Linked DNA regions of Elephas maximus indicus. The protein of the gene in region 4 interacts with the protein of the main gene of each other region in a pairwise test. Links are inferred from orthologs where the notes say so. Each region holds a gene or a part of one and is shown on either strand. Other genes may lie near its edges. The genes, in order: DAB1, TBX15, TBX22 and VENTX.

Region 1 (7,279 bases), on a different chromosome or scaffold from region 4:
AAGGCATCAGAAAGCCACCAAATGCAATTTTTAAGTTGGGTACTGTCAGGTGCCAAGCCAAACACCCACCCATTTGAGAAAAAAAAATGACTTTGGAGGGTAAAGAGAAGCGAAAAAGCACATTCTTCTCTGGCTTTTGGAGGAGAAAATGAACAATAAGTGATACGATCTCTTCCCAGCAGCCTCACACAATGGTAAGCCTTGCAAATGAAACATACTGTGAAACAGCTTGTGCGATGAGCTTCATCAACAATAAGTAATTTTTATTCAGATTTTATTGTTGAATACAATGAACATGATTAAATGTTTCAGATATGCCTATTCAGACCTTAAGCAAACCACCAAAAAAAAAAAAATCCACTAAAAATCATCGTCTAAATCTGCTTTAGGAAGAGATTTAATTGCCAACTTGCTGTGTAGGACTGAATTTCTACTTGATAGTGGCACTTGTTCTCAAGGAGATAGTAACAACGTGTTTGCGCTTCCCACCTCAGTCTCTTCTCTCAGCCCTGCAGATCCTCCCATCTTTGCCTAATAGTTACAATGTCAATCTTTTCAAATCACTGCATTTTGAACTTCCAAAACCTCTAACAGGCCTCTGTGTATGGCAAAGAACAATAGTGCTTCAAAAGCCATTTCTCTGAGTTCTTCAATGCTCCATTTGAATGCTGGGGTTTCAATCAACGATATCAGCAGACAATTTTGATTGCCTGGAAGTTGACTTTTATATACCTTTGATTCAGTAGCCCTTCTCAATAGGAAATAAAATAAATCTTTGATCCCTTTTAGTTTTCAGAATTGTCACCAAACCTCTTCCAGACAGGGAGTGAAAGAGATGGGGGAAAACGTTCCTAACCCCATCCAACCTCTCGTCTCCCCCTCCCCCTTCTATCTTCTTGACTGAGCAGTTTAGGGTTCCAACCAGAATCACTCATCGCTGAGATAATAAAAACAATGGGTGCTAATTCAGGGGGTGGGGATAGTTTATAATTTTATGCATTTCCCGAAGACCTATAATTGGCACATAAATGTACAAACGTGAACCGGGTAATTATGGGGTTCTGAACGTAAGCCACCTTTAATTTATATGATTACTTGAAAACATGTTAAGCGTTATAAAGTGCCAGTGGAACCCCCACAAGGCCTTTATTCAAAACCACCAACATTGTGAAAGGGTGTCTAACGGGCCAGCGGGAGGGGAGCAGGCAGGAGGGAGAAGCAACAGCGAGAATTCTTCCTCCGATCCCCGAAGGCTCGCCAGGAGACGCATTGTAGCCTCCCTGGCGCTGGAGGACTCGCTCGGCCAGCTCCGGGACGCTGAAAGGCGCTCTCGCTTCATCACGCTCTGGACTCGCCCCTCTTTCTAATTTGGCTCAACACAGGCGTGTGTCGGCATCCAAAGGCACACGCAGGCTCGGACCCACGCAGGCACGCACCCCACCCTCGTCGGCACACACCCAAGCGGACAGACACCCGCGCCGCGGCGCACTTCGCCCACGCCGAGCCTCCAGCGAGAGCCCGACCGTGGTCGCCCAGCGTCCCTGGTCTCCCCACCCCCGCCCCATTCCTTCACTCACCCAGCCAAGGCGGAAGTGCCCAGGCAGACCCCCAACAATGAGGACTTGTGTAATGCAGTTGGGGTGGGCGGTAGTTTACACAGAGTGAAACATACACAATCTGGCAAGTCCGGGAGGGGGCAACGCAGGAGACAAGTGTCACCAGCTTCGCGGGGCAGCTTTCTCTCGTGATCCCCTGCACCCCCATCCCAGTTCACCAGAGACACACACACAAAGAGCCTTAAAAAGTGCGGAAAATAAACGCGCCCTCCCACCAGGGGTCACAATTAACACTCTGCAGGATAGAGCCAGCGGGGGAGGAGAGAGTCCCGGCTGCAGCAGCCACCCTGGTTTTCAAATTTACTCCGTCCACTTGGCCAATGGCCCCTTTCTGACGCCGCGGTATCATCTCCCCCAGCTCTAACTCCCTGACTTCTGGTTCTCTCGGCGGTTGAGACCCCGTTTTGTGGCTCCTTTATGAGCCGAACCACGGTGATTTAAAGTTTCCCCAGTAGGAAAAGAAGAAGAAGAAGGAAAAAAAAAAACCGAGCTCTACGTCCGAGGCAGAGCGTTGAGTCCAGAGCAGAGAGAAGGAAAAGGGGAGCGAAGGCGTGGGGAGACCTCGGGTAGCAGGAAGCCCGGGGAGTGGAAGTGAGGCGAGGCGGGTCAGAACTGAGTCGCTGAAGGACTCGGGGAAGGCTAGGGTCAGAGGGGAAGCGAGACCAAGCTGACAGTGTCAGCAAAAGGGCTGCGGTTACTGGGAAACATCCGTCTACCAGATAGTTCAGAACAGAACCGCAGCGCTCCGGCGAGTAGGGAAGTAAGATCAGGGCTCGGGCGAGAAGAAAGTCCCGACGGCGAGCGCCGCTAGCGAGGCAGGGAGAAGCGCCCGGGACCACAGGGCAGATCCTGAAGTGGAAGAAGGAAAGCTTGTGGGTAGATGGACCCGGGGACGCAGGAATGAGCGCAGTGGGTCCCAGGGAGAACCAAGTGTCTTCGATGGACAAGTCTGGAGAGACAATCGCGAGTGGTCACAAGTAGAGAGATAGGGAGGACCCAAGAGGAAGGCGCAAAGGTCTCCCCTTTCTCCTCCGCTCCCCTCACCCCCGCCCCCAGGAAGTGGAAGGAGCGAGCAGAAAACTGCTGCAGTCGCAATCCCAGCAGAGCCCCACGCCAAACTCCCGAGAGGGGCGCGCCTCCCGGAGCCGGAACCCCGGCGGAGCCATCCCCGCGTCCCGGCGATGTGTACCCGCAGGCCACCTGCCAGCGCTGAACTCCGACTGCCGCGTGCCCTCCCCGCGCCTCACCTCGGCTCGCCCAGAGCATCCTCCTCCGCTGCCGCAGCCGCCCAGGAAGGGGCTCCCCATGCCCGGCGGGCGACGGGACTCAGGCGCGCTCTCCAGCCCGGGGAAGCCCCGGCGAGCGCGGAGCTGGGTCCATCCTCCTGGGAGCCGTGGGCCCGGCGTCAGAGCAGGGGGAGGAGACCGCCATGCGCGCAGACCCGCCTCCTCCCGCGGCCCCCGCGCCGGCCCGGCGCCCAGCGACGCGACTCACCTGCTCGCTCCCCCGCTGCCGCCCGCGTAGCCGCCCGGCGCGCCCCTCCCCTGGCCTCACGGCTCCCGCTCCCACTGAGGCGCTCTCTGCGCCTCCCGAGCGCACTCCGAGAGCTTAGCCGAGTCTCGGTGACGACCAGGAAGAGCAAGAGCGAGCGAGCGGGGGCGCCGCGGCTCGCAGTCGCGCCTCTGGAGCCCCAGCGCTTACTCCTCATCCCGGCGGGAAGGGGGAGAGCCGAGCAGCGAGCACAGGGTCCCCGCCCCAGTTGCGGCGGCGCGGAGGAGGGGTAAAAAGCCATCAGACTCCACTTTCACAAAGTATCCAGTGTTTTCGCCGTTATCCCACCACCAGCAGCAGCCCCCGCCCGGCATCCCTCATGTTTCTCATGGGTCTTCTCTTTTATCCAAGCCTCCAACATTCACCTTTGGAAATATAAAGAGTGCCAGTGAGCGGAAAAAAACCCAGGGAGGTTCCTAGACGGTGTGTTGCCCCCACGCACCTTTGCAAGAGGGGACGCTCGTTCCCAGCGGCCAACCCTGGCTCAGCGCTCTTGCAGTACCTGAGGTTTCGGTGGCAAAGTTTGGCTATAAGGGAAAAAGCTGGCATCTGTCAGGTTTTCATCAGTCCCTGGGAGGGGTCCACGCCCTTCAACCTTCACTCTTTTCATTCTTAGAATGCCTGCGAGTGAACAATCCTAAGATTAGATCAGTGAACACAATCTGCGCAGGAGAATAATCCAGCGAGTACACTCAGGCGTTCCCTAGTTCAGGTCCTCACTTCCAAAGATCCTAGGAACTCCAAATCGCAGAACGTATTTTGAGAGTTCGAAAATTCTCCTATCCTGAGACTGGATTCAACTCCAGCAAATGCCTCTTGTGGCACCCCAGTTTCCAGAAGCCAGATGCAGGGGAGAAAAATCAAATCAAGTGCTGTCCTGTCATAGCAGGGCGGGGAGGTGGAAAGGAAAAGGCAGACAACAGTTTCTTGAAAAGTTTATTTCTCCACTTTTTAGGGGCCACACTCCTGTCCTCCAGCTGTGTAATAATAAAGCTAACGTGCTGTTTTGGTTTTGTTTTTCTTCCCCCCCCCCCCCAGCTGCTGTTGCTCACCCATGAAAATTTAATGAAGCATTTAGGGTTATTACCTCCAGAGTCAATGGGCTAAAAATATTTAGCCTAATGCACTTCTCGTGGAGTCAATAGGTCTGTGGCTGGTACATACAAAGTCACCGAGAGACCCTCCCTTTCTCCACAAAATTCACGACCCATTAAACTCATTCCGTAATAACAGCTTCTGTATAAATGGAGGCCCATGCAAATGGAGGCTGTCATGCACCTCCTGAAAAGATAGCCATTTACATAGAGACAAGAAAAAATTGTGAGGTCACTGGCAAGATGCAATCTTGGGGAAAGAGTTGATCAGAAGAAACTCCCAACAAGGTGGGGGGAAGGGTGCCATCCCTGATATTAACTCTGTTCCTGTCTACTTCTGTTTGTGACCGTGGACAGTGGGGTCCCAGGAAACAGGCTCAAATCTCTCAAACTCTTCCAAAATCCTAGGGAATTTAATTCTAAAGTAACACTTGAGATTCATTAAGTAGGAAGTTGAAGCTTGCTAGGCAATTCTATTAACAAAATTCATCAGTTTCCTCATCCACAAAGACAGACCATGGGAAGCTGAATGCAACAGGAAGAATTGAGGGGACATGGACAAATCAGACAAGATATGGCTGAAATGGGGAGGGAGGTAAAGAAAATCATTAAGTACCTCAGGTGGTTGGGACAAATGTCAAATCTTGGGAGAGGGAACATAGCTCCAACTTTTCATTGACTCTACTAAGAAACACTCCAAGGTTTCTCAGTGCTTTGAGGGCAGCTGGGGAACATGAAATTATTTATTATACTAGTACCTACCAGAGCCCTGGTGGCGCAGTGGTTAACCATTCATCTGCTAACCTAGAGCCTTGGAAACCCTGTGCAGTGGTTCTACACTGCCCTGTAGGGTCACTATGAGTCAAAACTGACTTGATGGCAACAGGTTATACGAGTACCAGTTGACTGATCTAGTACCAGTTGATAATACTAGTATCAGTTCTGACTCATGGCAACCCCATGTGTGTCAGAGTAGAACTGTGCTCCATAGGGTTTTCAATGGCTGAGTTTTGGGAAGTAGATCGCCAGGCCTTTCTTCAAAGCACCTCTGCTTGGAATTGAATGTCCAACCTTCTGATTAGCAGTCAAGTGTGTTAACCTTTGTACCACCCAAGCAGGGACGGATTACCCAATAAACAAGGTACGCGTGGGTTTATTTGTGTTTACTTATTAATCCTCAGTGCATAATTTCACCAGATGTGGTGAAATTATGCGCTACGGATTAGTCAGTAAACACAAGTAAGCCTGCCTTGCTTAACGTAAGCCCATGCATACCTCGCTTATTCCGCCCCCGCACCCAGGGACCCCACATACAAGGCCTGCATGTGTGAGTTGTCCCCTTTACCTGCCTTCCACCTTGTCCTGATTTAAATTGATGTTATGATGACAGACTTTGAAGGAAATGTGTGATACTGAGTTGGCTAAGGACTATAAAGGTAAACCCTGGTGGCGTAGCGGTTAAGTGCTACAGCTGCTAACCAAAGGGTAGGCAGTTCGAATCCACCAGGAGCTCCTTGGAAACTCTATGGGGCAGTTCTACTCTGTCCCAGAGGGTAGCTATGAGTCAGAATTGACTCGACAGCACTGGGTTTGGTTTTGGTTTTGGTTAAGGACTATAAAGGGAAGAATCTCATGCAAAACTCTATATTCAGTGTTAGACAAAGTCCAGCATGGATACTGGGCAAACGCCCATGAAATCTGACAGGGGCAACAAGCCAGAGCTGTTTCCAAGTCCAGGCTGGAAGAAAGCATAATATATAGGTGCTAACTGCTCACAAGCTGCCCAGCAAGGGCCAAATGGTCTTTTAGAAAAAAACTGAACCAAATTTTTAAGTGATATTTTAAGTTATTATTTTCTAAAGATGTCAAGAAACAATTCATCTAAAAGCTAGGGTGTTTTTTCCTTTGTTCTTTTTTTTTTTTTTAATAGCAATGTCATTTGTATGACGTATGGCAAAATGAAAAATCAATAAATAGTTCTTTATTACCTACTCTGAGAAACAGCAAAATAATAAGAAGAATAACAGCAAAGATGTACATATTGCTTATTATTTTCCAGGCACCATTCTGGGTATTTTTCATATATTGACTCATCTAACCTTCACAACAGCTGAGTGAAGGAGGTCCTACTCTTATTGGTAGGTAGTGGATAGAATATAGACTTTGGAATCCGATGCTCCTGAGTTGTCTTTGGTAAGTTACCTCTCTTAATTTCAAACTTCTCAACTCTACAATCACCACCCCCCCCCAAAAAAAAGGCTGTCGAGACCCTATAGGACAGAGTAGAACTGTCCCGTAGGGTTTCCATGGAGCAGCTGGTAGATTCTAACTGCTGACCTTTGGTTAGCAGCCAAACATGTAAACCACTGTGCCACCAATAGGGAGAATAATACCTGCTTCATGAGATTGCTGTGAGCCTTAAATGAGATAGCCTCTTGGATAAGTGTAGTACTGAAAAAATCACCCAGTAAACACTGGTTCTCTTTCCAGAATAATTCCGAAATCGTTCATTTTAATTGAACAGCATTTATGGAGTATGTTCTATGTATCAGGCACCATACTAGGCACTGTGAAAAATGATGATAAATCAGAAACAGATCCTGTCTCTGAGAAGCTCAGAGTCAATTGCATAAAGGACATGGGCATGAGTAGCATGCAGATGAGAGAAAAAGGGCTTTACTGAACTTTACATAATCCATCCCTGTGCACATGCTTCTCAAGATACTCAGAGGGGCAGTTCAGGTAAGTGCTGTTTGAGAATGACCCATCATAGAGTGCAAAACCAAATGTCAGAAATCATAAATCCTAATAGTAGTACAAATTAAGTACAGCCAGAATGCTCCTTAGAAGAGAGGATGGTGAGACTTTGTCTTATGTCCTATGGACATGCTATCAGGAGGGACCAGTCTGTGGAAAAGAACATCATACTTGGTAAAGTAGAGGGTCAGTGAAAAAGAGGAAGACCCTGAACGAGATGGACTGACACAGTGGCTGCAACAATGGGCTTAAACATAGCAA
Region 2 (7,831 bases), on a different chromosome or scaffold from region 4:
GTGGCTCTGGCAGTCAGTGCGGGCTGAAAACTGGGGGTACGAGTCAGAGAGCTGATGAGAATGCTAAATACAGTTGCTCTAAGTGTGTGTCCTGTGTATATGTGCCCGTTTGTGCTTAATCCCTCCCCAGTCCCGTGGCAGTTTTGTTTTTGTTGTATTTCTCCTGTTCCTGTCTGGTTATCGGCCTAGGGCAAGAGAGGCACGCGGCGACTCCAATCCCATAGCAGCCCTAACGGAGAGAAGCCAGTTTAAACAAAATCTCGAGGCCCAACCGGGCTGAGACGCAGCCTCGATGGGGTCGCCTGCGGCCCCCCTCCCCCATATACACACCTTTAAATGGGGCCTTGTGTTTGTTAGGGTGCTGCATTAGAGGAGAAAAGGAAAAAAGGCCTAAAGGGGACCCCCAAGCCCGGGTGCAACGCGCTGTCAGGGAAGGATCCAGCAGCTCCGCCTCCTCTGCTCCTGAGACAGGCAACTCTCTACGCTACTGCACCCTTTCCCTTAAAGATCTTTTCTCGATCTGCGTCCAGGCTCGTAAGAAAGCTTCGGCCACTGTGGGGCACCAACTTGGGGATCCTCCTCGGCCCATGGCTCCTCCAGGCCTGGACCATAGCCGGGCTCCGCAAAAGGCCCACGAATGCTCTCGGCTTTAGGCTTCTCCCTGCTCCCGGGCCCTTGCGCCACAAAATATTTCGTTTTCTCTCTAATCCAAAAGCCCAACTTTGCCTTAAAAGAAAAAATTTTTTTTTTTTTTTAAGTCATGGGGTCGCTATGGGTCGGAATGGACTCGACAGCGACGGGTCTGTTTTGTTCTGTTTTTAATTGGTAATGGGAACAGAACTCTCTGTTACGTAAGGTTCTTCTATGTCAGGTCCTCCACCCTATCACCCAGTGGGAGCGTGTGAAGAGGATTCCGGAGATTAGAATCCGCGTTTATACCCCTGGACTGGTCTCTCCTTGCCCTGAGCCCCTTCACTTAACTTCTTCCAAGAACAACAGAGAGAAAACTTTTTGCTGAGTCCCTGATTATGACCCCGCTGTTGGCTCTTTTGAACATGAGACCCCAGAGGGGCTCTGGGCGACCTAGGGCCTCCCAAGAGAAACGTTCTCGCGGACAGAACGACTGCCACGCGAAGCTAAATAACTTCTACCGTTTCTACCGTCGAGAAAATAAACGACCCTCCTAAATCGTGATTTGTCCTAAGGCCTGAAGGAATGTCCACTGAGTGTGTAAAACCTAGTGAGGTTTTGACAACAGATAAATGCGGTGAGGAAATGGGGTCTGGTGAAAGAAGGGAAATACACATTCGCCACGCGTTTCTTTCTGGATTGCCCACGCAGAGTTCTGCGTGGTCAGGCACTCGCATCCAAATACAGGGGAAGACTTGAGCTGACGAAATAAATCTCCTTTTAATTTTCTTTTCATCGACTAATAAAAATAATTCCCCAACACTAAACCCAAACACCGTAACGGGCCACAAGAACACGGAGAATTCATAAAACCCTGTCTCTGCAGGTCACCCGCTAATCGCGTTATTATTAGCCTCAGGAGCATGGAAATTGAACTGTCACTGCCTAAAGAGAAAATGTAAGCGACAGCTGTCCCTCCTCGGGCCGGCCGGCTTTCCGGCCGGGATCCCGAGTTGTCCAGAAGCTCTCGGGCCTGCGGCCGCTCCGCCACTATGCAGGACGCTACCCACTCCCCGGGCTTGTCCGCGCCAGGATCGTAGTCTACTCCCCAGCCCTGGCTGGTGGGCAGGAGCACCTCCAGTGTAGTTTTAGAAGCCCGAGCTGGAACGTTTCTGAAGCCGCCAAAGCAAGCCGCAAGCGTTGTGTGTGTGCGCGCGCAAGATTCTTCCAACAACAGCTGCTTCCTCAGGCTGTTTTGCACAGTTGAAATCTTGGCACTTAATACCAACGTTAAATTGCCCCCTCCCAAGGTCCTATTAAAATACAGACATCTATATCTGCCCTATGTTTTATGTGTTGTGTGTACATAATATGCACAGAACGCGCAGAGATCGGAGACAAAAATTAATCGCATGTTCGGCTCCCCAAATACACACAGCGATGTGGGTCCTGAAGAATGACTCAAGGCACGGAATGAGAGTCTAACATCCATTCTTGTTTCCACAAACCCCAACAGACTAGAAATACAATTATGCTCCCTGTCTCCGGGAACAGGGGAAACACAACAACTTGAATCCCAGAAAAAAGTTGGTGGGGGAAGGGCAAGGACCCAGGCTCGAAGCTAAATGGCACAAAGTGGGCATTTCTTGAGACAGAGGTGTCGGGCCGGAAAACCGCGCCAGTCAGGCAGGAACTCGAGGAAGTAAGTCTCGGCTCCCCTCGTTCCCCGCCTTTGCCTTCGACCCACGCCCCTCCTAACCCCCAGGGGCCTAGCTGCTTTTTAGCTGCGGGTACCAACAGGCCTCCACGCTTGACGTTGGCGACGAAAATGCAAGGCTCAGACCTGTCCCCTAAATTGGTTCCGGCGAATTCAGGGAGATTCAAGGTATTTGCAAGAAGAAAAGGGAACCCGCGCTGGAGCAGTGCAGGGCTTGAGCACTCAGGGCCTCCCTCCTCGCCACTCCGCCCGCCGGCTGGCAGCTGGCTGGCCGCCCCTAGTCCCCAGTCCGCCCGCCTCCGGCGGTCCAGCCCGACGCACTCACCCGGGTGGGGCTCCAGGCAGTGCGCGGCCGCGTCCTCGGTGTCTCCGAGAGGGCCCGCGGGGCTCAGCGCCTCCATGGACAGGTCCAGCCCCTTCTCCTCCCAGTCTCGCAGTTTCCGCTTTTTATTCGAGCCGATCAAGGCTTCAACTGAGAAGGCATGTGCTCGCGAGCTCAGGGCGACTGCAGATCTTCTCCTTTCACTCATTTTAGCCGCCCGCACCCCGGCCCCCGCTCGCTCCGCTACTCCTCAGCAGCCTGCGCCCTCACGCTCCGAGCGCCTGCCGGGCTGAGCCCCGGAAAGGCGGCGGCGCGGCGGCCGAGGCCGAGGCGTCAGCGCCGCAGGTCCTCTGCACCCTCCTCCTGTGCCCTCCCCCGCCCTCCGCCGCCGGCTCGGACAGGCGCCCCCAGCTGCCCCTGCCGCTAGGAACAAGCGCCGGGAGCGCCGCCCGCGCGCCGCATGAGCGCTGGAGTCCCGCTTCCCACCCACCCGGGCAGGCGCTCACAGGCTGTGCCGACTGAACTTCATCTTTTTTTTTATTCTCTCTCTCCTCCCTCTCTTTTTCTCTCCTCCCTCTCCCTCTTCCTCTCTCGGTCTTTCCGTCCCCTTGGATCCAAACTTCTGGGAAACTTTTTTTTTTTTCCCCCCTAAATTCCTCCCTTCCCGAGGAGCTGGGGGCAGTCAGTGAGCTCCAGTCCGAGGGGCAAGGGAGAGGGAGGGGGGTGGAAGAGAAAGACCGAGGGGAAAAAAACCCAGCCCTGACCAATGGCGAGGAGGGAACAAGAGAAACCCTGAGAGCGCAGGCCAATGAGAGGAGGGGAGAGACTGAGGCTCCGGCCAAGGCTCTGCGCTCCAGCGTCCCAGCGACGCTCCTGGGCCGACCTTAACCCCTGGCTTCCCGGTCCCTGATGGACTCCTGGGGGCGGGGGAGGGGGCCAGGGAGGGAGAATGAAAGCCAACGTCGGATCTGCGCTGTTACAAACTTCTGCAAATCCTAAATCCTTACCTCTTCCTCCTAAATCTGCTGGATCTTAGAGACTCTGCAAGTCCAGTCATTTTTAGGCAGATCTGAAGGTTTTGGGCTCTGACTATGTTAACCTGTCCAAAAATGTCAGAAAACGACCTTTATAATCTTGCCTACCCCCCAGTGTTTTTAGATCTGCTGGTTTCGCCCCAGTTTCCCCCACCACACAGGCTCTTACATTTCTGTTGAGCGTTTTCTAAACAACTGTGCTTAAGGCAAAACGAAACGAAGCAACCCCCCAAAAATCCGTTACTATCCAGGGTCTTGTAATCGAAAATCCAAAGATCGCTTCCTCCCTCCAGCGCTACCTGATGGAGGAGGAGACGCTGGCGCCCTCGAGCCAGAGGCCGGCGGTGGCGGCGCCAGGCTTACCGCGCGCTCCACAGGCGTGTCCCGGATGGGCCGGCACCCAGAAAACACTCGCCTTCCCTGTGGCGCGGACGCGCTGCTGTGGGCCGCCCTTCGCCTTCTCCCGGCGTTTGTTGCGGAGCGGCCCTGGGCGGGCAGCCTTGACAGTGGAGAGGGCGCTTTTTCTTTCCTTCAACCCCGTTTACCTCAGGAGTCCTCGGCTCTCCCTGCCCTGCTGACACCCTTCCTTAATTTTTTTTTTTTTACAGGACAGTGTATTCATCAGGAACTTAATATCCAACACTGCTACACCTTCTTATTTCCCACACCCTCTCCCCGGGTTCCGAATCTGGCGGCAGGAGACCCTGAGCGCAGCCTTGGTTCGAGCACGCTCAGACCCCCCCCCCATCCAAGCTGGGAAAATGTCACGGATTTCGCCGACCACGACCTACCACAGCCTGATCTTGCCGTTCTAAGGTCCTGATCTAGACGTTTCGATCCTCTTTTGTAGAGGCTGGAAAGAAATGGACCCCGGGGGGCAGGGGAGGGGGATGAGCGAGGGACCCAGCGGCCGAGCAGACTTGTCACGCTGACAGGCTGTGAAGCCATAAGGGACAGAGGGCACCCATGCCGAGCCAGAGGCCACCAAGAACGAGCGCCCACCCGTCCTCCTACCCAGGGGCGAGGAGAGACGGGCCCGTCGGGTCTCTGAAACGCAGAGCTCTTGGCTTGACCACCTAGGGGCCCGAAAAAAATGTAGCCCCTGCTGTAGCTGGAAGCGCGCCGGTGCTGAAGGCCACGACTAAGGGTCGTGAATGCTCCTGGAGCCTCTTCAGCCCAAGAGAGGAAGGCAGAAAGGCCATTTTGGGGTCCCTCAAATTGGACCCCAGCCCCGACGACAGGAAGCTAGCCACAAGGTGAATGGGATTGAGCCAGGCCTGGGCCTCCTGGGTCTTCCTGGAGCCTGTGTCTCTGGCTTGAGGGTCCCTGGGGAACACGTCCAAGAACCTTGGGGAGCTGACAGCTGGGCACTGGGCCCCCAGCGCCTCCCACGCGCTGCCGGGCGAACTCTGGGAGCCTGAGCGGCAAGGCGCATAGTTTCTCACTTCAGCCATCGCTCGGCATTGCTTGTAGGATTCTTGCGGAAAGTGACTGCGTTCACCCCTACAGACGTTCAGCAAAAACGCTGGAGACATGGCAGGGCCGGAGCGCGCAGTTCCCTTCCCTGGCGCCTCAGACCTCTCTCCCAACTCTAGCGTCGCCGGGCGTTCTTCCGCACAGCTGTCCCGGACCAGGCGCGGTGGGGTAGGGAAGAGGCCTGCTTCTAGCCTTCCCCGGCTCTTTCCTCTGCCCCATCGCCTATATCTCCCACTGGCTGTCTAGCCTTCACACTCTCCCAGAGGCCTGGTTTGGTTTGAGAAGTGGACACACTATAGGCCACACACTCTCCCTGGGGCCAAGAAAGTTACTAAAAAAGAAGACTTTTTGGTTACCCACGCACCTAAATGCAGGCCCAGAGGGGTGCACGATGTAGGTGTCCATGAACATGACCCACAGACGCACACAGAGGCATGAGCAATGCCTTCAAGGACACCCCACCCAAACGCTCCAGACCTGTGAGCTCTTGGAGTTCCTGCACCCTTCCTTCAGTTTACACATAGGTTCCACCACCCCATCTCATATACACACATATTCTGGAATTGTGGGTTAAGTCACTGAAACCAATCTGACCCCAGAGAAGCCAAATGTAAGTCATGAAATTAGGGTTCTTTTACCCTAGGTAACCGAGAGGGGCAGGAAAATCTTTTTGTGACTCTGTATCTGTCAATTTAAGTTTTTCCCAAAGAATGCATGCCTTGGTGTGTGACTCTGTACTGATGGGGCAGGAAGTCTGGAGAAAGATTAATCAGGACGGTTTACTGTTTGTGTGACCTAGATGTGTAACTGTGTGTGGTTGGGAGGAGAAGGGAGGATTTAGGGGGATTAAATGTAAGAAGCTGGGATTGTTGTATTCATTTTCCTTTGACTAATGGCATCAAAGAACTTTCAAAGTCTCCTCTCAGCCCCCTCCTCAGTTTCCCTCTCCTTTAACCTTTAGGAGTAAGAGTGGGGTCCCCAATGTATGAGGCTAATTCCTGAGGCAATTCCCTGGTTTCCCAGCCACAAACTCTAGCCTTGTACTTGGTTGGAGGCTATAGCCTGGCAGTCTATTCCAGGTCTATTTCGGGTCTAAAGTTGATTGACAAGGACCAGGCTAGATGCCCCACCCTATTTGCAGGGCTCCAAAGAGCAAGAGAAGGCTGTTGGGGTACTGGGAAGTTGCGGGGGCAGGGGGGAGTGTCAAGGAAGCCTTACTGATCACCTTCTAGGACATATGGGGCAAGAAGACAGTCAGTCCTAGACTTGGCAGCATAGTGATTGCTCACATGAAACTGACCTAAACCCAGTGCCATCCTAGTCCAGGTATTTTCATTTCTCAGTGGAACAACAGAGAGTCTGCCTCTGAGCATCGTAGAACAAGAGTCATAAACACAAACACTCATTTCTAGAAATGGAGCCCCACATACTTCACATACCTGCCCTTCCCTCCTATTTCCTCATCCCCAATACCACCCTAAATACCTCCATTATTGCTGAAATAACGATAAAAATAAAAGCTGCCTTTGATTTTGGAGTTTTGAGTGGGTAATTGAAAACAATGTTAAAAATACAGTGGTTATCCATTGGAACAGGTTAGGCTGCCCCTAAACACATGTGCAGGATACCCTGTGTGGGTGGGAATAGCAGTGATTTCACACCGTCTAGGCAGGTCATTTTTCTGGGTAAAAAAAAAAAAAAAAACATTATGAGGAGACTATTGGGTTTGGGTAACCACCAGTAACTCCAAGGAGAGGTGAAGCCTGGTGACCAGGCCCCACTGAGGCCAAACTGACCTTGGACAAGTAAAATAGCCCCTTGCCTCTGTTTCCCTGTTTCAGACTGAACGAATCCTGGATTCTCTACAACTAAGCAACGCATGCAAGATAATCTGTTTGAGACTGGACAGGAGAGAGGTTTTATTATTGTTGTGATTCAATCTTCCAGGAATGTGAGGCAGACGTTTCCCCTTTTTCCTTCTGTTCCCAAATTGGTGCCCCAAAAGCAACAAAAGACCACGAAATGGGGAGGCAAAACTGTCTTGGAGTCTTCACGCAGGGGCGGGGGGGGGTGGAGGGCAGGGGTAGTGGGGGGTGGGAAGGAATCCATTTCTGGAAACCTTGCCCAATTGCCAGTTCCTTGGAGGCAGCGAGGGCCCAGTCCTGTCGGCTTGAGATAACGCGGTTCGTTCGGGTCCCCAGGAGCTGTGAGACCGTCGTGTCGTTGACTATTCAATTCAACCACCCCTTCATGCTTTACAAATGAAAGTGCATGGGGGCAAAAGGGTCTTTAACGATGTTTTTTTGTTTTCGAGAAATAAAATCTTTTGTTTTTATTTTAAACCAGCAGTGTGCCCACCTCTCGGTCCTTCCAGATGTTTGCAATAAAATGGCAGGTTTTGCCTTTGGGACTGGAAATAAAATTTAACGGCCTTTACCCTGTAATTATTCTCTTAGCTCGCCCTTCATAAATTTATCTGCTTTCTATCGGCGTTGGGGCAGGGGGCGAGAGAAAGGAGGGAAAGCCCCGATTTTATATTTGTGACTATAAAAAAGCGCCACCCGGTTTCCTCGCCTTCGGCCGCCACGGTGTGCCCGGGAGAGCCGGCCCGGCGGGCGGCAACATTGCGCTATTGTTCGCTGGCCTAGGTCT
Region 3 (7,151 bases), on a different chromosome or scaffold from region 4:
AGTGATGACAAAACTGGTCACCAGCAGCAGATTTTAGACTTGGAACTAGGCCAAAATATCTTAACCATGGGGTGGGGGTGGTGAGGAATGAGGATCAAAGGAGAGAAAGAAAAATGACAATTGAAGGGAAAAATGTCTCTATCATGAAGTTGCTTGTGCTTCTCTGACAAAAACAGGCACTATGCATTCAACAAGTCTCAAGACATTTTATTTTATTTTGTATATTTTGCCTCTACCTATATATACGTATACACATATATATATATACACATATATATATGTGTAGGGAAACCCTGGTGGTGTAGTGGTTAAGTGCTACGGCTGCTAAACAAAGGGTCGGCAGTTTGAATCCGCCCGGCACTCCTTGGAAACGCTATGGGGCAGTTCTACTCTGCCCTATAAGGTCGCTATGAGTTGGAATCGACTCAACGGCACTGGGTTTGTTTTTTTTTTAATATATGTGTATTTCATATATATGTATATTTACATACATATATACATATATATTTGAAATGCTTACTGATTTATTTAATTTCGTTTGTTTCATTCTTTTCCACACAAATTAAAAGTAGGAACTGGAATCAGTTTGAAATTATCCCCTTATTTAGTAAGTACTGCAGAATACAAAGGATTTTTTTCCTCCAGTCAGACTTACTCATTTTAATTAAACATAAAACTTTCTTCAAATAACCTATACTGCCTATATAGAAAGCTAGGAAGACCCTGAGTCTTTACTCCTTACATAAATCATACATTTCTGATAAAAGTAACATTTCCAAACATGTTAACTTAATTCTGAACATCTATTTCCATGCTCACACACATCACCAGAAGCAGCATTTTCAGGGCCTACTTTGTTTAGTGCATGTATTAGTATACATGCCTATTTCTAGCCATTAACAAAATATTGGGATTTTTATTAGAGATACAAATTGCTTTCTCTGTCCTTAAAGTAGGTTCAGGTTTCGATTCCACGAGAGCTCTAATAAACAATATATCACTTAAGGTGCTTCCATCTCTTCTGTATCCTCATAGATACTGAATAGGTTTGATTTGCGTTAATCACAAAATTATTTTTCCTTTCAGTTGTGAATCCTCACTGTGTCCCAGTTGTAACTTTTTTCGGGGAAGTTCAAAGCCAACACCTGATTCTAAGGATTTTCCAACTGTCAAACTTAAAAAAAAAATCCTTCTAATTTGGGTAACTGTGGGTCCCAGAAGCTCTCTCTGCACGTTCCACTGTCCCTCCATGCATTGAAGAGTCTCTTATAAGGGTTTCTAGGTGTCCTTGGCTGAAACAAACAGACAAAAATGTTGAAAAGACACATCTAACTGTAGAGAATTAATTGCTAGTATTTTTATGAGTGTATGTCCCTCAGGCCCCCAGTACCCGATAGCCCAGTGCTTCAGCAGTTGAACAAATTGCAAAGTTGGTCCTGAGGCATGTGATAAATTTTCTCTCAAATACAAGTTAACAGGAATTAACTACACCTCAGTCTAGCATAAGGGAGGGCTGAGCTACATTTCTCCCAATGATGACATCAGATAGATATTGAAACAGAAATGGAAGTTTAGATTACAAAAAAAAAAAAAAATCCTGGATGTCTAAATTACGTGCGTGTAATGAATATTGAGTATTGAGGAAGAAGTTTCTTCTAAGAAAAGAACTTTCATCCCAAGAACTACTATATCCTTGATTTAAAAAAAAAAATCATATAGAACATAGTTGGAAATACTAGAACAAATATTGCACCAACCATATTTTGTCTTATTTTTGCAGAAATCTGGCAAAAACTAAATCAAATAAAAAACCTACCAAGCAAAGCCCCCCCCTTGTTATCAAAGGTACCTGTCTTTTAGCAGTAAAGTGAGCCAGGGTTTAAATACAAGAAAATGCCTATATTAAGAGACACTAATGAAAGTGCTACATGGTGACTAACGTTCTAAAATTAACTTGTAAAATCTTGACTTCTCTGTTTCTGGGCTGTACCTTTAAGCTAAGAACATGCAATGGATATATGTATATATATATATATATATAGAACATATATATGTAGATTTTTTATATGTAGATTATATATTCTATATATATTCTGAGTAAGAGGAGATGGACAAATGCATTAATATTTTCATTTTTTTAATGGCTTCAGAAGGAAACAAATGCCCATGAAGATGTGGCCAAGATTATATCCAGATCTAGTTGTTATCCAGCCCACATGCCTTGTACACTGGAGTTGGCCTTGCCCTGTGAGCTTTGCTCTGCCCCTCTAGGGTAGGGATGGTGCCTTTCCCAGCTCTGCATGGTGAGCAGTGGATAATTGGTTATTGAATCAAACCCTTCAACAACGTTCAGGTCATAACTAACACTTCCCCATGATATGTGAGATCATCAAAGTTCTGGGGTTCTTAAAGCCATGCCCAGTTGCCTGAAGAGCTCCTTGCAAGGCACCAGCTGAATGTTGACCTCCTCCCTCACCACTACCACCTTCATCACACAGAAAATACAGGCAGGGCACCCTTGTACCTAAGTAACTGAAATTAAAAGGCCACACAAATCTCAAACTCCAATATAGAGATAAAACCAAACCCAGTGCAGTCGAGTCGATTCCGACTCATAGCGACCCTATAGGACAGAGTAGAACTGCCCCATAGAGTTTCCAAGGAGCGCCGGGCAGATTTGAACTGCCGACCCTTTGGTTAGCAGCCATAGCACTTAACCACTACGCCACTGCCAATTAATTCAAGTCCCATCCTATTTCACACGAAGTTGAATTGGCTTTAAATGCCCTCAATGTGCCAGATAAGAACAGGAGAATCTTTCTGGAAAAGTGCACAGGTCATTACTGAAAATGCAGTCTACAAAACGCCCTGAGGCATCTGATTTCTTATTTCTGACGAAAAGGGGTGAGCAAATCCCATGCACACAGGCAAATATCTCATGTCTGAACTCACGGAAATGCTTTTGGAAGTGGTAGACAAGTCTCTATCTGATAGGAAGAACTTGCCTTCATCTAATTTAAGGAAAAGTAAGACCCAGCCCAAAAAGATATTCCAGGAGACACTGGAATCAATCATTTGAGCCCAACATTTTGAAGTTGTCAGAGGCCCTGTTGGTGCCTTGCTAGTGGCCCTGGAGTCCTTATATTGTATTTGCTGATTAGTCATGTAAGTATGAGAAGTCTGTGTATATGAATATTGGGGTCCAGCAGGAACAGACCTGGAAGGCCCAGGTACTCTCTGATCTTTGACAGTGACCACCTGGGGGGGGGGTCCCGTCTGCCCTCCCTGAGCCTCTGCATCCAAAGAGGACAAACTGGCACTACCTCACATCCAGCTTGAAACCCCTATTGCAGAGCAAACCTGCCCAGAAAACTGCTCTACCTTTCCCTGGTGACTTTACTGGAGAGCAAAAGGCCCAGATACACTTCTCTGGTTCTGCTTAAATAATGTTTGCACTTTTGTTAGAAAAGTGGCCCCTAGGGGGCAATTATGTCTCATGTCTTTGAGTTTTACAATTTAATGTAAAACAGTAACCTTGTATTATAGTCAGTGCTGTCTCCCTCTCCTCCTTTCTCCTCCCTTTCCACAGCCCCGCTCCTCAGTCAGACTCTGAAGTGTCACTCAGGGTGTTTTTTATGCTTCCAATAGTTTCCAAAACAAACAATGGAGGCTGCAACCAGCCTGTATTCACTCAGTTGGGTGCAACATTATCTCCCAATCCCAGTGGCCTGGGCCGCTATTGGCGGCAGGTCTGCTCCCTAAAAGGCCCTAGATTGCTGATCACTGTGAGCTCTGCCAGGTCCTGGAAGCAGCGATTTGAGGACTGATGGTCCACATATGTCCACTGGGAGGGAAGAGACCGCAAAAGGAAAGGAGACTCTGGAGAAGTTAGGTTCCAGTTTGATCTTTCTCTCCTTTCATTCTGTATATTCAAAGAAAGAAAGAAAAAAAATATGTATATATATATGTACATCTCCATACCCAGAATCATTTTTTGTTTTGTTTTGTTTTTTTAATTTGGGGATTTTTCAGTTTTCCTTTCCTCGCCTATCTCCCGCACCCTCCCTTTCTCCCTCTTCCTCCCTCCCTCAGAGGTTCAAACTTCGCTGTGCACTTTCCCTTTGCTTTCTATAGGAATGGCTTTGAGCTCCCGGGCGCATGCCTTCTCAGTGGAAGCCTTGGTAGGGAGACCAAGCAAAAGAAAACTGCAAGACCCAAGAGAAGAATTTCAGCCTAATTTTCAGGAAAAAGAGGGTGGAAAGGAGGAGAGGAGGTGCTGCGCGGCAGGCAAGAGGAGTGAACAGTCTGGTAAGTACCCCACACAGCCCCACTGCCTTTAGTTCACCGGCTGCGCGTGCTGGATTCAGGGCACTCTCCGCCGGACCCACAGCGCTGCGGGTGGACAGCTTGCTCTGCACCAGGATGTCCTGGCCTAGCAGGGCTTCCACATTAGGGGCCAGGGGACACCTAGACCACCTGGCTCCAGAGGAGATTTCTATGCCTCTAAAGTCTGGAGTTCTGAGGTTCATTTGCGGTGAGGTAGAGGGTTCCGACATGCTTACGGAGAAGTGAGGCTCCCTGACTTCCAAGAAGCCCAGACAGCTAGAGGGGTGGCTGCCCCTTGGGGTAGGAATGAATGCAAGTCCTCAGATCCCTGGAGGATCCAGTCTCCGAGACAGAAATTCTCCAGGAGAATGAGGATGGGCAAATCTGAAGAAGAGCTGCGTCTTTCTCAGGGTGCGATGTTACCCCTTTCTCTCCATTACCGGGGCTCCAGTGGATGCTGGAGGAAGGTTGGGTATCTATGGCTAGGATTTCTGAGGGAGGGACAAGCCAGACTGCCTCCATACAGGCGCCAGCAAGGAGGTGTGCAAACTGCAAAGCTCTCTCAAACCCTTGGCGTCTCTGTGTCCAGCACAAAAGCGACCCAAGGCAGAACCCTCAGCAACTGCATTCTCTGGCTGTGGTGGTGGCGGCGGCGGCGGCAGCAGCAGCAGCGGCAACGGTAGCGGCAACAGCAGCGGCAACAGCAGCGAAAGTGTGGAAGAGAGAGATGCTATCCAAGTGGAGCTTCAAGGATCCGAGCTGTGGAAGAGGTTCCATGACATTGGGACTGAGATGATCATTACCAAGGCTGGCAGGTTCGGCTCTACCGAGGCTGTTCAAGGGCTGTGGGGCAAGCCATGCACACAGTAGGTGCTTAATGTACCACCTCCCCACCTACCCCGTGATAAGCAGTGCCTCCAGTTTTACACTTTAGTACCCTACATCACCACTCCCCACCGCCTGGGCAGGCATTAGAAACCCACTGCCCCTCAAGCAGTCAGACTAGGGCTTGCCTGGCTTAAGTAAGCGGCTCAGCCTTCCTTTCCAAGCACTGGGTATCTCTTATTCTGTCTGTGCAGTATATGACTAAAATTAGATCTGTACAGGCACTTGACAGATGCCAACCCCACATCTTAGGCAGTGGTCAGGCCTCTCTTTAAAGCCTTACAGTTACCAGTGGATAATATCCTATCTCACAGGCCCCTAGGCCTCCATCTGGGGTTGGAGGTGGGCCTTTCTCCCAGCCACCCTTTCATGTGGCAGCTGGGTGATTTGTGTGTATGTGTGTGTGTGTGTGTCTTCCTAATTTCAGCCTTTTCCAAATCTGCCTCACAGAAAGTACTTCAGAACAGTGGGGGAGGGGAGAAGGAGATGCAGCACACTGTTTCCTCTCCTAGTTTCTCTTCTTTAACTTTTTACTATAGTAGGATGAGGGGTGGCTGGACAAAGCCTTTACCTGGGTTTCTTTTTATAGTAAGGATATTCTACTACACTCAGAAATCTTGCACTTGTTCAATGAAACATACAAACCAACAATTTTTCCTCTTATAGCGATTGCAATTCCCTAAACGTGCCCTGGGATAGGAAGATATCCCTTCACTTTTCATTGGAGTCAGCATTTCTCTCTGATCCCGCCCCCCTCCAAAAGTCTCTAAAAGCATCCTGGTCAGTCCCTCTGTTCTCTTCCACAGGCGGATGTTTCCCTCTGTTCGGGTCAAGGTAAAAGGGTTGGACCCAGGGAAGCAATATTATGTGGCCATCGACGTGGTGCCGGTGGATTCCAAACGCTATAGGTAACCGGGCCATAGGAAGGTACCCAAGACCAGGCAGGGGAGGGGGATTGGGGCTCACAATCAGAGAGAGCTATTTTGAAAATCCTAGCAAGGGGGGAGGGAGCTGCTTTCCCATGAGCTTTGGGAGTTGAATAATCTTGCTCAAATCTGGGTTTTGGACTGAGGGAAGAGTAGGCTTGTTCCTCTTTCTCCCCCATTCCTGTAACACCGGCCACCGAATTGGAGCTTCAGTGTACCCCAGGTCTCTAGCCTGCTGACTACTTCCCTTTGCAGTCCCAACTGCGGGGGTGGGGGGATGGGCTCAGGCGGCCTTGAGGAAAGCGGTTTGGAGGAGTTTGGGAAGAAATGCCCCAAGCTCCTTGTGGGCCCGGGCTTCTGAGGCACCCTGGCCCCAGCGGGTGCCAGGAGCAATGCCCTAATTTGCCATTCAAGGCTAGAGCAGTCCAGCAGTTATCGCACATGGGCGGGTCATTTCTTTCTTCCCCAGCCTCTCCACCTGAATTGGCCGCCGGGCCCCAGAGGGTGGGAGTACTCTTTCCTCTAGATTTAAGCGCTTGGTTTAGAGCAAACGAAAAGTGGTTGAATTGCCCTGAATCCAAGAGGCCCGTTTGGGCAGGCAGCGCAAAGGCACTGGTCTGTGGGACTCCTTTGACTCTGGGGCTCCAATTGTGTGGGAGTCGCCAGCATTGTGGCTGTGAGTGCTAGACCAATAGATCAGTGCCAGGCCCTCCAGTGAGACAGTCTGCCTGGAATCAATGCTGGGTGTGAGGGCAATGGAGAAGGCTCAGCTCAAGAGCCTGCTGGGACCGCGGCCGGAAAACAGCAGAACAAGCTGTTTGCTTCTCACGTTGCAGCTGCAAGACGGCTCTTGGGAATGCTGCACTCAGCGGCGCGGGGTTGAGATTGGAAACATTCTGAAATGAGCCCTGCCTCAGAACCAAGCGAGGTTCCTGGGGGTATTCTGGTGTTGAAGCCTTGTTGGTTAAAGTGCTTTGATGAGGACTGAAGGCTCTGGGCTGAACAGACAGACAT
Region 4 (7,093 bases):
CTGTGGTGGCTCCATTACAAAGGCACCCAAACCTCAAAGCTGTAAATGTAGAGCCTCACTTGCTTCTCACGGTTCACGGACTTCGTCTCTGCAGACCAAGCTGATCCGCACGCAGAATGAGGACCCTCCTTTCTTTTTTTCCAACAGGAAAACCAGTTTTTTCCAACACCTTTTATTGAATAAATTATCCATTTACCATATGCTAAAACCCCATGCGTAACACATCCATTTTGGCCTTTGATTCTGCTCCCTGACCCATCAGTTACCCCCTATGCTGACCCTTTCGGTAGTTTTCAGCGAAGGGGTGGCATTAAAATGTCTCCAGCTGTAAAACTCTGGAGTCTTAAGGTGGTCAGGGTAGGGACTCACCATGAATCATCGTACACACACAAGGCCCGCCATGTGGGAGGCGGCTGTGATGAAAAGGACAGTTAGTGTCTGTTCAGGGCAATGGCAGACCTTGCACACACCTCCTGGGGATGGGCGAAGCATCCACTTTCGGGGCTGCCAGCCTCCTCAAAAGGCACCCTCGGTTTCAGGTAGATCACACAGGCCCCAGGAGCCCCTGGATGAGGCCTGCGCCAACAAGCGCGCCTGGCCCCCAGGCTCTGGGAGGTAGTGTGTCTGAGATTGCCTGCTGCAGGGATTCCATGCAGAGGCCATCAAGACCTGCTCTACTGGGCAGGGACCCCAGAAGGAGCCCAGAGGCAGCAAAACAGCTGGGGCGGCAGGCAGGGGTGCCCCACGGTAAAACAGCTGCAAGCCACTACCCAGGACAGGAGACGGTGGATGGATGGCCAGGGGCCCGTAGAGGGGTCCAGAGAAGGGGACACTGAGCTGTGAGTCCTGCAACTGGCGTTTGTGTTTCATTCTACGATTCTGAAACCAAGTTTTTATCTGTGGGAAACAAACCAGGCAGGGGTGAGAACAGACCGCCCCCGTTCACCCAGCCTCCCCTCCCCCCCCCCATGGCCTACTCACCTGCACCTCAGTCAGGTGCATCTCTTTGGCCAGCTTCTTCCGCTCCTGGGGGCCCAGGTACTGGTGAAGCTTGAAGGCGCTCTCCAGGGTGCTGATCTGAGCTGTAGTGAAGGCCGTACGCACCCGGGGAGCCCGCAAAGGGTCTGGCTCCTTGTTCAGCCCTGGAACGGGAAGATGGGTGAGAGTCTACCCACCTGGGACATGCTCCCCGCTATGTGAAAGTTGCCCTGAGCTTCGGGGTTACTTAGGCAGCAGACGCAGCGGCCAAAGGTGGATGGGCAGCCCCTGTGTCCCTGAAGCAGGGGCAGCTCCAGTTTCTCTCCTTACTCCACCATTCCAATATCCTGCTCAGTCTCCCAGCTCAAGGGTGGAGGGGGTCCAGAGCAGGACATGTGTATTGGAGGAAGGAGACAAAGGTTAGAGTGGTTTGGGCTGAGAGGGGCAGTCCTGGTGCAGATTCCACCAGCCAGTGCCCCAACCTAGAGCCACCCTCACTCACATCCCTCCAGAAAGCAATTTCTTTTCCCTGCAGCCAATTCACCAGATGAGGACAGATGGGGCAGAGCAAGAGGGACTTTCCGGGGAGGGTCCACTACGTACAAAAGCCTGGGGCACCCAGAGAGCCAAGGGGAGGTCAACCTTTCTCATCGACTTGTTCACATTTGGATTTAGTCGGGAGCCAAGGCAGACACCCATTAACCTGGACCTGCTGTGGGTCTTTGCAATAAATATTTCACTTCACCCAAGTATGAAATTATTCCAAACGAATCACTCAAACTTTAAAAAAAAATTAAAAATCATAGATACCAATCTCATTGTTGACCAAGTAGGACTTTAAACCTAAAAACAATGGATTAAATTACAATGGACTAGAAAACAAACAGCAAAAAATCTTGTCAGCACATGACAAAGGGTTAGATAAGGATTATGGAGCCGCTGGCCAGGCCCCCAGGCGAGACTCCCAGGCACAGAAATGCAAAGGTGGCCTCTTGGTCTGCAGCCCAGCCCCAGCGGCCACTTCAATCACACCCATGGAGCATTCTTAAAATGCCAAGATTCCAGGTCTGCTGAGAACGGGCTCAAGTTTGGAGCCAAGTGAAGACCCCCTTCATTTTGGGGGTCAACGATGACCTCTCTGCATTGGCCAGTCTCACAGCTTTAGAAGCAACGGTCTTTCCCAGTGACCCGGGTCTCAAGGGCTCAGTGTAGAGCTTGAGGACCACATGCACAAAGACACCAGAGCCACCGTGCGTGACAGGCATAGCTGGGAGACAAGCTGCCCTCTGGGTGTGGGGTGGGGTAATTTCACGAGGACAAGTTACTGGAGTGCCCTCGGGCAGCAGGCCTGGGCTGGACGTAGCTGGGAACTGGGAAGATGCTGTGGCTGGCAGAGGGCCGAGGCAGGGCAGGGCTTGCAGGGCTGGTACCATAGAGGTGCCTGCAGGTGGCTTCCCTCTGAGGGGAAGCGCTCGCTCGCTCACTTGCTCGCTCACTCACTCACTCACAAGGGGACATCATCACTGCCCTGTAAAAACCACCGAGTGGACAGGGTGTGTTCGTGTGTTCCTTGCCTTGCAAGAACCTCCCCAACGCCCACTCCGATCTGGGAAGGACTTTCCCCTTCAAGACCTACCAGCCACAGGTGTCCCTCGCACACGCAGATCTGGGGTCTTAGCCCCATCGATGGCCATGTTCTGAGGGGGCTCCCCTCTGCTGGGCACCCAGACGGGGGCAGTTAAGCCCCTCCAAGAGACCTCGCTGGGCCTGGACGTGCATATTGGCCCCGAGTGGCTGCTCTGGGCTAGCCAGTCCACGGAGAAGAAACTGGAGTGTGGTTTGTGGCCCTGGTGCAGGTCGGAGGAGGGAGGCATGGCCGGTCAGGCGGAGGATTTGCCGAGGACTGGATAAGTGACGGGGCTACTCAGAGGATCCCCCGAAGGCCAGGGGACCACGCAGAACACTCACAGAGGGCCAGACAAAGAAGATCCCCCAGGGCCGGGGGGCCACGCAGAGGATGAGAGTGGAGCTGGACCGGTGAGCCGGGCTGGGCACAGGATCCACTGTGGGCAGATGGGGCCGGGGGGCCACACAGAAAATGGAAGAGGATTGGACACGTTGGCCAGGCCCAGCACAGGATCTGCCTGGGGCTGAGGAGGGCCGGGCTGAGTTTATAAACGAGGGTGGGGGGGTGGTGGGGGGGAGAAGGGTCGGTTTGCTTAGGAGGCTGCAAATCCCCCAGATAAGGAGTACCTAATTGCCTTCATTGAGAAGCACAAAGGAGGCCATTCACACCTCCCTCGGCTCCAAGATGTCTGGGGGAGGGCGGGGCTGCTGCCCAGCCCGCTGAGGGTTTGGGGACCTGTTACATCCTTTCATCTGCCCTAGCCGTGAGGAAGGGGAGGAGTGGCTGCCTCCTATAGGGCCGCCCAGCCCCCGCTTGCCCCGAGCGGCGCTAAGCGGTGGGGGCAGGAAGTTCTGCTTCTCCAGCCCCCCTCCCCAGCTGGGACTGCAGGGCGGCTGGGGGGAGATGACAGAGGTTTCAGTTTGGAAGAGGTGCCCCGCTGACCGAGGAGAAGGCAAGCACGGCTCTGTGTCCGCTCGCCGGCTGTCTGGCTGGGGAGGGAAGGACCCCTGTGGCTCCGGCTGGCCCTCCCTCGGCGCCGACTCGCGCCGCCCTAGCCCGGGCCATAGGCCTGGCCCCACCGCAGGGGCTAACTCGGTGCTAGTGGCGCCGCCTTCGGATCTGCCACGCCTGCGCAGCAGGGAGGGCGGGTTACTGGCCCCGGTGCGGACGGCTCCCCGGGGTAAGGGGGCGCCGGGCCACCGCGCTCTGCCGCGGTCCCGACCTCTGCTTTAGCCACGCGGCCGCTCCCCAGGTAGCAGGCCGCCCCGCGTGTCCCCGCCTTGCTGTGCTAGCCGACACTCCTTGTGGGAGACAGGCCACGTAGGCCTCCCCCATCCCAGCCCGCCCCCGGCGACTGCTTCACTCCGAACTCTCCTGCGTCCACGTTCCGGGCGCCGCGCTGGCCTGGGGAAAGCGGACGGCAAAATCGCCGCCGCCCGAGAGAGGCGACAACGCAGCCAGCGGGGTCCAGCGCGGTGGGCGCCCATTGCCTCGCTCTCCCCGCTATTCCCCCATCACTAGCTTCTCTCTGCTCCTTCCTGCCGGCTTCCCGCCCCCAACCTGTGCCGGGGGTGGGGGTGGGGGTTGCCTTCCCTGGACCTCTATCCCGTGACCCCTGCTGGATCGCATCTGTTGCTCCCCGACGATGGCCACGGCGAGGCAATGCCTCGGGAGCCCGCCGGGAGCGGCCCTGGGTGCACCTCAGGGCGCACGGAGTCCTGGGGCGCTCGTACTGCTGCTCCTCCCCCCTCCCCCCACCAGCGGACGTAAGCAGTGTGTCCTCCACACCCACTCACCTGGTGGATAGCAAAGGCCCTCGGTACTCCCCTGGCCATACACCCTCAACCTCCACCCCCGGAGCCTGTCGGGCTACAGGGGAGAGGGAAAAAAACGAGGTCTGGGAGCCCGCTGGTCGCCCTGGTCAGGCCCCCCATTTGGGCCTTCCTCAGGGGCCTTGGCCGCCCAGCCTTTGGTCACTGCTTCTGCAGGGGTGCGCTGGGGAAGGCTTGGACCTGCCTCTGGGAGGGAGGTCTGAGAGGCTCTGAGGGTAGCAGCCCCCCTCCCCGCAATAATTGCTCAATGTGCACTGAACAGGCTAGAGAAGCACAGGTAAAAAGGAACACTTGTTGAACATTTTTGCCATGTTCAAAAGCACTTATTACATGAAAACAGCACATACCACACTTTCTGAAACTCGGTCAACGTTCATTTCTCTAAGGGCCAGCGTTTCTTGGCCCCTTGGCCCCCGTGCCTGTAGAGCCAGCTCTACCAAGTGATGCCCGTGAGGGGGGGTGTGGGGTTCTGGTGCTCCTCTGACACTGCTCCTGCTTCCACCTTCCTACCTGTGCACCTGAGGTCCTAGCCCCTCCTTGCTCTCTGGCAAACACCTTCATTTGCCTAAACTGGCCACCTGCCCTGAACAGAGGGAAGAAATTTGCTCAAGGGTCCCACCTCAGTCTGCAGGTACCCTCAGGTCTACTCAGCGGGGTCTGGGGGCCTCTCCTGACTGAGCTCCCCACAATCTCTTACCATCAGGGTGGTCTCCTGTCACCCCATCAGCACTCCTCATCACAGTCCCCCCTTGCCTCCACACATACCCTGGGTGTTCCCTTCTCCCCACGAGCTGATGGCCAAGGCCTGTTTGCTTACTTGGCCTCCCAGCAGTGTCGTGGACTGACCGGGCCCTCCCCTGCCCAGCTCCTGGGCCCCCTTGCACCAGTGTTCTACTGCTCTAGGCCCCTTTGCCCACCATTCCTCCAAATGATTAAATGTAGGCTGGAAAATTAAAAAAACAAACATAGGCTGGAGCCTTTGCTCCACAGACGCAGACCTCCTTGCCCGGATAGCAGCTCAGACCTGGTGGCTTCAGCCCAGACCCATCTCCTGAACCCCACACCTGCACACTGGTGTGGGCTCCACAGAGCCTGCCGGAGCCATGTTTCAGCAGGGTGACGGCTGAGCCCAGCCTCCCACTCGCAATGTGTGATGATGCCTGCACTGGGGAGGGGTGAGCCCTGGGCTTCAGGCCTCCCTAACTAATCCCCGCTCTACTCCCCCTGGCTCCACAGACACCTTCTCAAATTGTGTTCATGATTTGGAAGCAACTCCCACCCCTAATATACAACACTTCTAAAGTCAGACTTCCCACTCAAACCTTTTCTTCCCAGGGGCCTGTCCTCCATCCATCCAGGTGCCCCCTGGACACCTCACTCTACAACCCCTTCTCCACATTGACTGGCTGTACCACTGCCCACCCTGCCCTTCTCACTTCAGCCCACAGCTGTGTGCCCCCATCATCACTGGGGAGGGGGTGGGTCTTGCTTCTCCCTCCTGCTGCAGGTCAGGTTCTCTCCTTCACGCTCCCCTCCACACCCCCACTTCCCCTCATGGCCTTCCTCCCCTTCCCTTAGGCTCCACTCCTTGTTCCAGGGCTCCCTGACTCCTTTGTCCTCCTCCTGAAATGACACAATCTGAGTGTGTAGGGGAGCAACGTATGGACAACCCCAACCCGGCTGGGCTGAGACTCTGTGAAGAGATGACCCGGTGGGTTGAAGGGTCTCAAATTCTGAAAGGGTGAGTGGGATGAGGCGGAGCCCACGCAGCCCACCTGTGCGGGAAGCTTCGGGCTGGACCTTAGAGTGGATCCTGGGGTGACCTGTCTACCTCACTGGGTTTCCTGTCTGCTGAGTGAGGTCCCAGGCTCAGGCCTTCTGTTCTGGGGGGAAGCATCAGGAACCCGTCCCACCTCAGCCCCATTAGGCCCCACTTCTGCCCATCCTCTGAGGCTGCAAGGATGCAGGCTTGGGGACACCTCCCTCCCCCTTCACTGGGGGCTGGCAGGGAGGCTGGGCCCCGGGGACCAAACCTAAGGGGTCTTGGGGGAGGTGGGAATGGTCTGGGAAGCTAGGAGATGCTAGAGGACACAACCCAACCAGCTGACGGGGCCACAGGAGAGGAGTGAGGCAGGAGGGTCCTGTCCAGCCTGCCTGAGGTTAGAATCCACTTTCCAGGTAAACAGGACACACTTCAAATACTGCCCCACAGTACACAGCAAGCCCCCCATGAACTCCCTTGGGATTTGGGAACATTTAAAACACCATCTATTGGTGGGACACTATGTAGGAGACATCACAGTGAGAGGAATGGATATAAAAGAGGCTACACTTGGGAGATAAACAAGCCAAGTCCCTGGGTGGTGCAAACGGGCAACGTGCTTGGCCGTCAACTGGAAGGCTGAAGTTTGAGTCCACCCAGAGGTGCCTTGCAAGAAAGCCCTGGTTACTTCCAAAAAATCAGCCACTGAAAACCCTATAGAGCAGTTCTACTCTGACACACACGGGGCTGCCAGGTGTGTCAGAGCAGAACTTTGTTTTGTGTTTTTCTTTTTAGTTTTGAACTTAGTTACTTCAGTTCCATTTTCAGGGATAAATGTGGACATCAGAGGGCACACAGACAGCAGGACCAATGAAAGAAGAGAAAGAAACGTAG

What was found.
Region 1: the proteins of VENTX (region 4) and DAB1 interact in binary tests that used the Homo sapiens proteins (3 or more experiments, as listed by UniProt). The two-hybrid records come from large-scale screens. The link is inferred for Elephas maximus indicus from reciprocal best matches to the Homo sapiens genes VENTX and DAB1.
Region 2: the proteins of VENTX (region 4) and TBX15 interact in binary tests that used the Homo sapiens proteins (3 or more experiments, as listed by UniProt). The two-hybrid records come from large-scale screens. The link is inferred for Elephas maximus indicus from reciprocal best matches to the Homo sapiens genes VENTX and TBX15.
Region 3: the proteins of VENTX (region 4) and TBX22 interact in binary tests that used the Homo sapiens proteins (3 or more experiments, as listed by UniProt). The two-hybrid records come from large-scale screens. The link is inferred for Elephas maximus indicus from reciprocal best matches to the Homo sapiens genes VENTX and TBX22.

What each region holds. Positions count from the first base shown.
Region 1 is NC_064821.1:101,487,956-101,495,234, forward strand, and holds the start of DAB1 (disabled homolog 1), read right to left. Parts: upstream 3,006-7,279; 5' UTR 2,864-3,005; intron 1-2,863. UniProt on the Homo sapiens protein: Signaling adapter of the reelin-mediated signaling pathway, which regulates the migration and differentiation of postmitotic neurons during brain development.
Region 2 is NC_064821.1:160,480,005-160,487,835, reverse strand, and holds the start of TBX15 (T-box transcription factor TBX15), read right to left. Parts: upstream 3,016-7,831; 5' UTR 2,878-3,015; coding exon 2,673-2,877; intron 1-2,672. UniProt on the Homo sapiens protein: Probable transcriptional regulator involved in the development of the skeleton of the limb, vertebral column and head. Acts by controlling the number of mesenchymal precursor cells and chondrocytes.
Region 3 is NC_064846.1:87,274,432-87,281,582, reverse strand, and holds the start of TBX22 (T-box transcription factor TBX22), read left to right. Parts: upstream 1-4,136; coding exon 4,137-4,308; intron 4,309-4,915; coding exon 4,916-5,141; intron 5,142-6,017; coding exon 6,018-6,119; intron 6,120-7,151. UniProt on the Homo sapiens protein: Probable transcriptional regulator involved in developmental processes. This is major determinant crucial to palatogenesis.
Region 4 is NC_064834.1:82,821,151-82,828,243, reverse strand, and holds VENTX (homeobox protein VENTX), read right to left. Parts: upstream 2,853-7,093; coding exon 2,615-2,852; intron 1,143-2,614; coding exon 982-1,142; intron 898-981; coding exon 517-897; downstream 1-516. UniProt on the Homo sapiens protein: May be involved in ventralization.